Linked DNA regions of Saccharomyces cerevisiae S288C. The gene in region 1 interacts genetically with each later gene. Each region holds a gene or a part of one and is shown in the gene's direction. Other genes may lie near its edges.

Region 1 (8,134 bases):
AACTCATCTTCTTGAAAGTATATAAGTAACAGTAAAATATACCGTACTTCTGCTAATGTTATTTGTCCCTTATTTTTCTTTTCTTGTCTTATGCTATAGTACCTAAGAATAACGACTATTGTTTTGAACTAAACAAAGTAGTAAAAGCACATAAAAGAATTAAGAAAATGGTTAAGGTCAGTTTGGATAACGTCAAATTACTGGTGGATGTTGATAAGGAGCCTTTCTTTAAACCATCTAGTACTACAGTGGGAGATATTCTTACCAAGGATGCTCTAGAGTTCATTGTTCTTTTACACAGAACTTTCAACAACAAGAGAAAACAATTATTGGAAAACAGACAAGTTGTTCAGAAGAAATTAGACTCGGGCTCCTATCATCTGGATTTCCTGCCTGAAACTGCAAATATTAGAAATGATCCCACTTGGCAAGGTCCAATTTTGGCACCGGGGTTAATTAATAGGTCAACGGAAATCACAGGGCCTCCATTGAGAAATATGCTGATCAACGCTTTGAATGCTCCTGTGAACACCTATATGACTGATTTTGAAGATTCAGCTTCACCTACTTGGAACAACATGGTTTACGGTCAAGTTAATCTCTACGACGCGATCAGAAATCAAATCGATTTTGACACACCAAGAAAATCGTACAAATTGAATGGAAATGTGGCCAACTTGCCCACTATTATCGTGAGACCCCGTGGTTGGCACATGGTGGAAAAGCACCTTTATGTAGATGATGAACCAATCAGCGCTTCCATCTTTGATTTTGGTTTATATTTCTACCATAATGCCAAAGAATTAATCAAATTGGGCAAAGGTCCTTACTTCTATTTGCCAAAGATGGAGCACCACTTGGAAGCTAAACTATGGAACGACGTCTTCTGTGTAGCTCAAGATTACATTGGGATCCCAAGGGGTACAATCAGAGCTACTGTGTTGATTGAAACTTTGCCTGCTGCTTTCCAAATGGAAGAGATCATCTATCAATTAAGACAACATTCTAGTGGGTTGAATTGCGGACGTTGGGACTATATTTTCTCTACAATCAAGAGATTAAGAAATGATCCTAATCACATTTTGCCCAATAGAAATCAAGTGACTATGACTTCCCCATTCATGGATGCATACGTGAAAAGATTAATCAATACCTGTCATCGGAGGGGTGTTCATGCCATGGGTGGTATGGCTGCGCAAATCCCTATCAAAGACGACCCGGCAGCCAATGAAAAGGCCATGACTAAAGTCCGTAATGATAAGATTAGAGAGCTGACAAATGGACATGATGGGTCATGGGTTGCACACCCAGCACTGGCCCCTATTTGTAATGAAGTTTTCATTAATATGGGAACACCAAACCAAATCTATTTCATTCCTGAAAACGTTGTAACGGCTGCTAATCTGCTGGAAACCAAAATTCCAAATGGTGAGATTACTACCGAGGGAATTGTACAAAACTTGGATATCGGGTTGCAGTACATGGAAGCTTGGCTCAGAGGCTCTGGATGTGTGCCCATCAACAACTTGATGGAAGACGCCGCCACTGCTGAAGTGTCTCGTTGTCAATTGTATCAATGGGTGAAACACGGTGTTACTCTAAAGGACACGGGAGAAAAGGTCACCCCAGAATTAACCGAAAAGATTCTAAAAGAACAAGTGGAAAGACTGTCTAAGGCAAGTCCATTGGGTGACAAGAACAAATTCGCGCTGGCCGCTAAGTATTTCTTGCCAGAAATCAGAGGCGAGAAATTCAGTGAATTTTTGACTACATTGTTGTACGACGAAATTGTGTCCACTAAGGCGACGCCCACTGATTTGAGCAAATTGTGATCTCCCTTGCCCCAGTGTACACATATATAAAAATATATTCATGCCTATATGATTATGTATCGGAATCCAAAAACTTATCTTTATATTGCTTCGTTTCGTAGTTAGCAATGAATCATCTTATCATGATTCCTTTTTTTGTTTTGGCCAGATTAATGTATCACGGTCGACGGCGAAGGCATCAACCATTGTTGTGGAATTTCAAACACAATACTTGATGACTCCAAACGTGGGCATATATTTTGATTTGAAAAGAAGTCGAGAAAGTATAGCAACGCATTGTATACGTTTGAAGCTTTCAGCAAAGGATATACCGTGGAAATGTACACGCCTATCCCTGCTAATACCCCTGCTCCCACTGCACCAACTTCATCGATGACGTCCAACTCTTCATCCGCATCAAATGCCAACACCACTAGCAGTAGTGGCATAAACCCAAGGAACAGAGCCAGTGGTACTCCATCCAATGAGCGGGCTCGTCCGGCGTCGGGTATCAGTTCGTTTTTGAATACCTTCGGAATTAGGCAAAATAGCCAGACAGCTTCTTCTTCTGCGGCTCCTGATCAGCGTCTATTCGGCACAACCCCATCTAACTCACATATGAGTGTGGCCATGGAAAGTATCGATACCGCTCCGCAACAGCAGGAACCACGTCTGCATCATCCTATACAAATGCCTCTGTCGGCCCAGTTCCACGTTCATCGCAACTATCAACTCCCCATCTCCATATCTCTCACTGCCCCTACAACCACAGACCACCAGCAATCATCTGCGCATAATTTCGAAGGCAACAATGTTGGTAACGTTCAAGAGTCTTTGAATCAGCGGCAGCCTAACGGTACTAACAATACCACAACCTCGATAATTTCCATGGCGCCAGCGGCTACAACGAGAAATATAGTCGGTGGTGCAGATGGATCTACTATTGTTAACAACAGTCAGGAAATGTATAAGAATTTACGTCACTTGATATATGCTGCAAACCAGCCAAATGGGACCGAAATTTTACATTTGGATTTACCTGCAACAAGTGCAGAGGAGTCAAACAATATGTTCAATGTAGATGAGGTCACTTTGAAGCAAAGGAAAGATAAGCATGGTCTTTTTAGTATAAGACTAACCCCATTTATTGATAGTTCGTCCACGACAAATCAAGGTTTATTCTTTGAACCGATTATAAGAAAGGCTGGCCCTGGATCCCAATTGGTTATTGGCCGCTATACTGAGCGTGTTCGCGATGCAATTTCTAAAATACCTGAACAATATCATCCAGTTGTATTTAAATCCAAAGTTGTTTCAAGGACACATGGTTGTTTTAAAGTTGACTCTCAAGGTAACTGGTATATAAAGGATGTGAAATCATCTAGTGGAACTTTCTTAAATCACCAAAGGCTCTCACCCGCTTCCTCTTTATCGAAAGATACCCCTCTTCGTGATGGTGATATTTTACAGTTAGGAATGGATTTTAGAGGTGGCACGGAAGAAATCTATCGTTGTGTAAGGATGAGGATTGAGCTAAATAGATCATGGAAACTAAAGGCAAATTCGTTCAACAAAGAAGCTTTACAGCGTTTGCAGAATTTACAAAAATTAACTACAGGTATTGAAGAAGAAGATTGTTCGATTTGCCTATGTAAGATCAAACCGTGTCAAGCAATTTTCATATCACCATGCGCACATAGCTGGCATTTCCGTTGTGTAAGAAGATTGGTCATGCTCTCATATCCGCAATTTGTTTGCCCCAACTGTAGATCAAGTTGTGATTTGGAGGCCTCCTTTGAAAGTAGTGACGAGGAAGATGAAAGTGATGTGGAAAGTGAAGGTGATCAACTGGTGGATCAACTTAGCGTCTTAATGGAAACTTCAAAGGATGTTGATAGCCATCCTTAAGGTCAAAGAAAATACACAGTTTGAAAAATAAAGAAAAACCACCGAACTCCACATCTCGTACCTTAATATTATTTTAATTATTCTCTTAGTATTTATATATTTGCGCCGTTTACATATTTGACTTATTGTTTTCAGGAATACAATACCTCCATCGTTGGCAGTCAATTTTGCTTTCACATATAAAACTAAAAAAAAAGTAAAGAACTCGGTTAATCCTCGGTTAGTTTGCCAAGCTCACCTATTAATCTTAATAGGACTTCTTGAGTTTGTTGTTTGCCCAGACCATACTTATATATTTCATGCCCACCTTCAACTATTTTCCATTCTTGAGTCTTGTGAGAAATTTTGGTCAAATCTCTTTGCCAATCGCCCCATAATGCCGACTTCTTCACCATTTCCTTAGAGCTAACGATGCTTGTCTTCACATTTTGCAAAGATTCTGCATTGTTTGTCACATCTCTGTAACTTAGAATTGAACTCGTCACGCTTTCCAAAAACTTGGAACGCAAGAAACGTCCTTGATATTTCATATCACGCCCATATATACGTTCTTTAGACCCATGATGAGCTAGTAACCATGAAGTCTGTAATCTCCATCCTAAACTCGACCAAATGCCTTTCCACCATAATCTAAATTCGTTATGCCTTTCTATCTCCGAAGGTAACCAAGTCTTATCATGGTTGCGGCCATCCCCATCATTACCATTGCCATCGTCGCCATCGTCGCCATCACCACGGCCTGGAGGTAGTAATCTTTGAATGTAGTTTTTTAACAATAGTTCTTCATGCCATGATTCAACAAGCATCATGCTATCCACAATATCGACATTCTTGGCGGTAAATACTCTTGTAAATAGCCCGCCAAGGTCGTATCCTACTGTAGTGAAGGGACCTTTAATTTTTGCATCTTTGATCAATGCGTACCTTAAAGATTCCGCAACCATCGCAATAGAGATTGGGGCGGGAGGAGAATCGCTCAACCCGTACCCTGGTCTATCGTATAGACAATATCTTTGAATTTTGTCTAAATGATATAGTTCCTCAATCCAGGTGGCAGAAAGGTAACCAGTATCATAACCTCCGTGTTCAAACAAGATGATAGGTTGCTTCTTATTTTCAGACAAATCTGTGTTGTTTTCTTGATCAAATACGTCACCATAACAAGTTATATGCAACTGATAGGTTTTAGCGGCATCTACGTAATGGAACGCCTCGTACGAGGGCGACTGAACGGTTATTGGTAATTTGTGAGTCAATCTGTAGGTATCCAATGTCGTTAAAAGTGTATTCAGGGTGAATAAAGCGAAGAATATTAAAATTAAAAACTTAATAGTATTCCTGAACCCAATGGATACCCATTCTGTCAATGTATGTTTGTTTTGGACCAGCTGCGAGCGGTGGGTGGGGGTTGGCGACCCAGAGCCATATTGGCTTCTGTCCCTGTTTTCGGTACTATTTGTATGGTTTTCGTTGAAAGTACTAATATTAGCATCATCAATTCTGCGTTCCTCCAATGGCTCATTTATTGAGTTGTTGTAAAACAAGAGATACCAATCTAATATTGCCCCAATAAAAAATGAAAACGAAGTCCACAAATATGTAAACGTGCCCACAAAGCCGATTCTTTGCCTAGTGTATTTAATTAGATAGGTCAATGCTAGATTGAACAACGTCAAAACACAGAGAGTTACATTTAAGCTGTAATCTAAAGCTGAGTACAGTCCCAGCTTATTAAACCAGAGATTGAAAGAATTAGCTATGATCGAGATGAATATTAAAGTCAAGTCGTTAAAACTTGCGTACCTGTTACTGAATCCGAAAAGAATATTGATATTGAAAAAGAAATCTGAAATCAAAGTGGTGACTAGCCAGATGGTGTTAATTAGAATTAGGATATTTAATATCCATTTGGAGTTATGAATAAAGATTCTATAACCTTTGCGAATTTGAAAGAGACTATCTTTGATGAACCCATCGGATTCAATGTCACGACCTTCATTAACTGCTGGGCCATTCGCGGATCCTGCACCAAGGGTCCGGTGGTTGTTGTTCAGCAACGGTTGCGCTTCTGGGTGTTCACTATCTATATCTGTTCTTTCCATTCCCGTCCTTGCCGGATCATTATCTAAACCATTAGCCTTCATGATCTGTTCGCTCTGATGCCTACAGTTCTTTCTTCAATGGCTTTCCTTTCCTTTCCTCCTTATAGAATATAGCAAGGCATCTAACTTTTAGTTTTTCTCTCATCCCTTTAAACTGCACGATGGTTAAAATTAGGGGTCCGAATAGCCTTGCAAGGAATAGATTAAAGAACACTATATATGCATAGCCACTTCAAAACGTGCTGAGAACATGCCATCAAGGTTGACCAATACGATTGCTGATTCGACAACTTCTACATTACATAGGCATATACATATCAGAAAAACGTGCTTTATAGGTACATTTTTTAATTCCTTAAACATAACTTGCTTCTATTTTGGGATAGTTCCTTTTCTTTGAACTACGTTTTTTGGGCAGAAATATAAAAAAAAACCGAAAAAAACGGCACGCAAGAAAGCTTATTCAAAAAGACGCAACAATATCATAGATTATTCTAAGTACCAACAACGTGATAAACTTTGTTCTAATAAAGCTACATCTTATCTCTTCTGTACAGCTTTATTGGGGTGAATCATATTTACTTCAATCCGGGTAATGGTAAACGTAACAAGTGATAGAAATATTCACCTGCGATGAGCTGGAAAAAAAAAAAATTTCAAAAGAAAACCATACTAATGCTGAGGTATAAAGTAACGAATTGGGGAAAGGCCATCAATCCAAAGTCGGAAAAATTGAACTTCACATAAAGTACCAGGCAAATGACTGAAGACATCGAACAAAAAAAGACCGCTACAGAGGTAACACCACAAGAACCAAAGCACATCCAAGAAGAAGAAGAACAGGATGTTGATATGACTGGCGATGAAGAACAGGAAGAGGAACCAGACAGGGAAAAAATTAAGCTTCTCACACAGGCAACATCTGAAGATGGAACTAGTGCCTCTTTTCAAATTGTAGAGGAGGATCACACGCTTGGAAATGCCCTTCGTTACGTTATAATGAAAAATCCAGACGTAGAATTTTGTGGTTACTCGATACCTCATCCTTCTGAAAACCTATTAAATATCAGAATTCAAACCTACGGTGAAACGACCGCGGTGGATGCTCTTCAAAAAGGGCTAAAGGACTTGATGGATTTATGTGACGTTGTAGAATCTAAGTTTACTGAAAAAATCAAGAGCATGTAGATGTTACGGATCGACTCAAAGACCCTCTGTCACTCTGAAATTTCTAATAATTATGCACACCACGCTAGTATAGATACAGCTTGATTTGTGTATCCCGTTTATAGTCGTGCTATTTAAAATCTATGTATAATATAACCAGATAAAAATACACCTTCGTACAAGGTGCTAATAATGTTGAGAATTCGAAATTCCTTTTTAAAGGCGTATTCCGTATTGAATGATTGAAAAATTTATTTCTTTTTTTATTTCTTTTTTTTTTTTTTTTTTTTTTTTTTACGCCGATGCTCATCGCAGAAAATTTTTCCTTCAGTTTATTTGTCTTATAAAAAGACTGTCCTACGCTCAAATAACTTATACTTTTCTGTATCTCATTCAAATTATTTTCTTGTCAACAACCTGTAACAGAATTAAGCACTATTAAGGCAAATTTAGAGCAAATATGACTTACGGTGGTAGAGATCAGCAATATAACAAGACTAACTACAAGTCTAGAGGTGGCGACTTCCGCGGTGGAAGAAACTCTGATAGAAACTCTTACAATGACAGACCACAAGGCGGTAACTACCGTGGTGGTTTCGGTGGTCGTTCCAATTACAACCAACCCCAGGAATTGATCAAACCAAACTGGGATGAAGAATTACCCAAATTGCCAACTTTCGAAAAGAATTTCTATGTTGAACACGAAAGTGTTCGCGACAGATCGGACAGTGAGATTGCTCAGTTCAGAAAGGAAAATGAAATGACTATTTCCGGACACGATATTCCAAAGCCAATCACCACTTTCGATGAAGCTGGTTTCCCAGACTACGTTTTGAATGAAGTGAAGGCTGAAGGATTTGACAAACCAACTGGCATTCAATGTCAGGGTTGGCCAATGGCTTTATCTGGTAGGGACATGGTTGGTATTGCTGCCACTGGTTCCGGTAAGACTTTGTCTTATTGTTTACCAGGTATTGTTCATATCAACGCTCAACCATTATTGGCTCCAGGCGATGGACCAATTGTTTTGGTTTTGGCTCCAACTAGAGAATTGGCTGTTCAAATTCAAACAGAATGTTCCAAGTTTGGTCATAGTTCCAGAATCAGAAATACCTGTGTCTACGGTGGTGTTCCAAAAAGTCAACA
Region 2 (4,716 bases), on another chromosome or scaffold:
GGTAGCTCAGGAATTTGTAAGGCAGATGTACCTGTGGTTGTACTATGCAAAGAATTACAATTTGGTGTTGGTGATAAAGGTAATCTTGTCAACCCCAAATCAAACAATTGGTCATCCACATTGGAATCCAGAATGTTATCTGATCTCGAAGCTAACAAGGGAATTCTAGAGTTATCCAATTTGGAGATAGATTTAGTTATTGATGAATTTAATTGGATGGTAGTCGGTGAAGAGCCGTATATGTCCTGTTTATTTTCGTTGTCCTTAGTTAGTGTGCTAGTGCTATTGATGGTATCCTGGGGGGTTTTAATAAATAATTTTTTATTGTTAGATCTTAGCGGCGTTCTCTGTAAGATGTTGTTGGCATTTTCCAGCCCTATGGATGTTGCATTAGTGGTAATATCCTTTCTTGCCTTCTGAAAATCCACTAACGCGCTGTTAGACGATATCAATGCTTTTGCATAAGGTGTACCGACGTCATTCAGAATTTTTCTTCCATATGGTGTCAACGACAGGGAGGAGAACCTTTTTGATGGAGATGTCGGCAGCGGTTGATTGAACATGAGATTCATGTCAATCTTACTCAGAGGAGTGCGTGAAAATGCGCCGGTGCATGAAGATGAGGGTGTTTTTCCATTACTCTTCAAAAGATTGTTCAAATCGACATTGCTAAAAACATTCTGTTGTTGACCTGGGTTCTCTGTGGTGCTTTGCTGAGCACCGTTAGAATCTGTTACAAATCGAAGTGGTGTCTTTGCCGGAGTTTTGTGAAAGAAATTGAAATTGGTGGACGGAGAGTCCAACAAAAATTCTTTGAATTGCTCTGGGGATGCAACCAAAAATTCGCTGGGTAAAGAGTTGCCGAACTGCAAAACAGAAGAAGGTTGAACGTTGATATCGTCCAAAGTCTCACTTGTATCTGTCCTTGTGACAGCAGGAGGTACAAGTGAACCTAGAGCTTGCTGTTGTTGTTGTTGTTGTTGTTGTTGTTGTTGTTGCTGTTGTATCTGCTGATGATGCGGTAATATACTGTTCTCTACCAACGACGATTCGTTGCTCGAACTGTTGTGAGCGTCTGTATTGGCAAAATGATCTTGAGTCTGTTGATACTGATTAGAAGAATAGGGCGTGGGGAATTGAGTCGTTGTAGGTAACGGACTGTTAAAATTATATTTGAATTCTGACATTACCTTCAAAAAATTTGTATCTGCATTATTGTCCGTAGAGGGCTGTCTTGAGGAAGTTGCAGTTGCCCCAGTTGAGGTATAATTTTGCTGGTAGCTTATATCTCTGTCCATAGTTGGAATCAATGCTCTATTCTGACCAATTTATTCCAATTTGGACACTTTTTCCACCCACAATGCCGATGCCAAATATTCAGAAGATCCTTGCAGCTCCTTAAGGCTCTGTCCTATTTGTTTTGTTTTGTTCTTGTTTTGTTGTTTTTTTTTTTTGCGTCCCGTTTCTTTTCGCGAGGAGGGTTACGCCAAACGCCAAAAGGCTTATGCGGGTAGTGACCTAAACTTGTTTACTGGAATGCTATTAACGATGCACAACAGATAATGAATAAATACAGATGAGTATCTAGGATGCCAGAAGTGTTCAACAATATTCAGGTGAAAAAATTGCCGACTAGGTTGAATAGTAAAAGCATACCGAAATGGATATGGATACGCAGGAGGCAGAACTATCGAGCCAGCTGGAGAATCTTACAATAAATTCACCACGAAAGCTACGCTCGAACGCGCACAGTAACAGTGGTAAAGTGTTTAAGGAATATGAAAGTAACCACGATTTTCAAGATTCAAATTTTACTTCCCAAGTTGTGGAACCTGCAATATCCGATTCTGTCAAAAAACCTCCTACAATGACAGTTTTGAACAACTATAGCACGGTGCATCAGAAAGTGCCGTCAGGTTTTTCAGGCACGACTGCTACATCTCATCAAGAAGCTCAATGGAAGCAGTATTTCCCTGGTATTGGTAGCGGCGGTGGTACCAACTTTGGTGGCGCTGTTGGTACTGCAAACAAAGTTCCTGAATCGGATCTCATTGTGAGCGACTTGGTTAAGGATTTATCTGGAGTTCTTGAAACAAATACATTTAAAAGACATTTAGATATGAAGAATAAAACTACTACTATGCAGACCCATGAAAACCATGATACGATTAGTATTTCACATTCTAAAGATTTCTTTAACGCTGAGAAGGTCTCATCGTCGTTTTCTGATGACAGCGATTCTGGCCCAGCAGCTGAGGCACATGATGTATTTGATGGCATATTACAAAAGCAAAAATCGAATTATTTGGTGGGTTCTTATCCAAGTAATAGCAACAACAAAAACAATAATAATAATAATAATAATAATAATAATAATAGTATTAATATTAATAATAAGGATAACGCTAGAACGAAGGAGGAGGACGAAGAGGACACTTCCAATTCTTTTGAATTTTCATCATCGTCATCCATGTCGTCCTCTCAAACTCAATCAGGCAGAAAATCAAAAGTTCTCAAGAAACCTCCATTGAACACTATTTCACCCGGTCAATTGGGATATCAGTTTAACCATACACACGGCGCATGGGATCCGCCGCTGAACCAGGGCTTAGATGTGTCGAGTTCACATTCTCTGGACAATACATCTTCCAACCAGTCCCAGTTCGCCACAATGGTACCAACTGGAGATAATCACACTAACGGTAAGGCACCTTCAATTCTAGATAAGAAGGCGTATGAATTAACCAGTACCAAACCAGGTGATGTTGGCTACCGCCAAAAGAAAATACAAGAAGAAGAAAATCTAGCAAATAGCGATGACACGCCCCTAGACACACCAAAATTTAATGACCTTTTTACGAAAAATGGCACTAGAGCGAAGGTTAAAGGACAAATGCGTACCTCTCGTTCAATCTCTAATTCCAATCTACTAGAAGCTCACAAGAAACTAAAGACCTTCCCCGCTGAACGGGTTGAAGATATTACGTCCATTTCCGAAGTAAACACCTCGTTCAACGAAACTGAAAAGCAGCTAATATCAATCTTGACTAGTAAACTATCTGGTTCTCCAAGCTATGATTCCGATTGGGAAAAAATCCTGAAAGTTGACCTATCAAGGGGCAAACTGAAGAATATGTTTGGCATGCAAAGACTACTACCGAATGTATTAGTGCTAAACCTTAGTGACAATGAAATGAACACTCTAGAAGGTATACCCTCGAACGTTGTACAGCTATTTTGTTCAAACAACAAAATAACGAGCGCACATTGTTCATTAGCCGGATTCCACGATCTGGAATGCCTCGACTTATCGTACAACCTCTTGAATACAAGTTTAAAATTTTTGTCACTTTGTCATCACCTGCAAGAGGTGAACCTTTCTTACAACTCCATCCAATCCTTAGAAGGGATAGGATCCTCCAGGATGAAAAAACTGAACCTTTCTAACAACGAGATTAATGGTATCATCGATTTCGAACAATTGATACTAACAAACAACTCTGTCGTGGGCGGCTGGTTGACCGTGGAAGTCTTAGATCTAAGCAACAATAACATAATTGGCGTAAGAAACATCAATTGCTTGCCCCGCCTGAAGGTTTTAAACCTCAATGGTAACCCGCTAGTTTCCATCGTGGAATCTTCTAAGATGGAGAACGGAACGTTGAGAGCGCTTTCCATCAAAAATACAGGAGGCGCGCTATCCAAATTACAAAATTACAAGTTGGATGATCAATTCACGTTCCCCTACCAAAATCTAAAGATTCTAAAACTGGACGGCTTCGCTCAACTTAGCAAATGGCAAAAATGGCCTGCCACTTTGCAAATTCTGGAGATCAACGGCGGCCTGGCCTCCTCTTTGCCGCGATTCTCTTCTCTAAAATCCACCAACTTATATTCTCTAACTATAGCTAATGTTAGAGACTTCACACACTTACCAGTGGACCTCTCCAAGGAACTACCGTTCTTGCAAGAGCTACATCTGCCAGGCAACAACCTACAAAACGCACACAAGTTAACAAAAACTCTCCCACGCCAATCAGTAAAATTTCTTGATCTACGAAATAACCCAATCACGACACCACGCCACGATCGCGCCAGCACGAGCTTGCATTACCGGCAGTTGCTCCAGCTTGCTGGCCTCTGCCAGCAGCAATGTCCCGCCCTGGCGACCCTCTGGTTAGATGACACTCCTGCCCCAACTGCCACGAATCTGTAACCCCATAACTATACCCGTACGCAGTACTAAAAATGTATGTAATTAGTAAATGTATGTAACAATTTCACCGTTTTGTGTAACAATTCATTCATTCATTCTTTTGATCCTTTAGTACCGTCCGCACATGATGTCATTTCCCCCTCATTTTTGTTTGCTGGTATGATTCCCCGCCCGGGCGACGGTACGGCTGTTATCCAGCGATGCGGGACTTCCGTCCACAGGTATCTTTTTCTCCAACTCCAACAGAGATGGAAAATGAGGGGCGGGTGTAGGTAAGCAGAATGAGGAGAAATTTGTAATGAAAATGGAAGTTCGGCGGTTATATAAATGGGGGGGGTTTGTCGGTGACAATTGACTTCACTCTCCTTTCCTCAAAAATTCTTGGGTGTTAGGATTAGAAGTATCTGGAAAACCAACCAAGAAAACTACAATAACAAAAATAAATAAAGCATGTTCAGTAGATCTACGCTCTGCTTAAAGACGTCTGCATCCTCCATTGG

What was found.
Region 2: mutations in DMA2 (region 1) and NUD1 are lethal when combined (synthetic lethality), as found in Saccharomyces cerevisiae (one study listed by BioGRID).

Annotation. Positions count from the first base shown.
Region 1 is NC_001146.8:406,191-414,324, forward strand, and holds DMA2 (ubiquitin-conjugating protein DMA2), read left to right. Parts: upstream 1-2,150; coding exon 2,151-3,719; downstream 3,720-8,134. Other genes in the region: malate synthase MLS1, read left to right, coding at 168-1,832; YNL115C (uncharacterized protein), read right to left, coding at 3,929-5,863; DNA-directed RNA polymerase core subunit RPC19, read left to right, coding at 6,581-7,009; DEAD-box ATP-dependent RNA helicase DBP2, read left to right, coding at 7,449-8,134. UniProt on the Saccharomyces cerevisiae protein: E3 ubiquitin-protein ligase which functions in cell cycle retarding in conjunction with the UBC4 and UBC13/MMS2 complex, 2 E2 ubiquitin conjugating enzymes. Involved in nutritional control of the cell cycle.
Region 2 is NC_001147.6:1,035,174-1,039,889, forward strand, and holds NUD1 (Nud1p), read left to right. Parts: upstream 1-1,660; coding exon 1,661-4,216; downstream 4,217-4,716. Other genes in the region: NDD1 (Ndd1p), read right to left, coding at 1-1,298; aldehyde dehydrogenase (NADP(+)) ALD4, read left to right, coding at 4,667-4,716. UniProt on the Saccharomyces cerevisiae protein: Involved in astral microtubule organization by binding SCP72 to the outer plaque in a cell-cycle dependent manner. Required for the mitotic exit by facilitating the binding of TEMP1 to CDC15.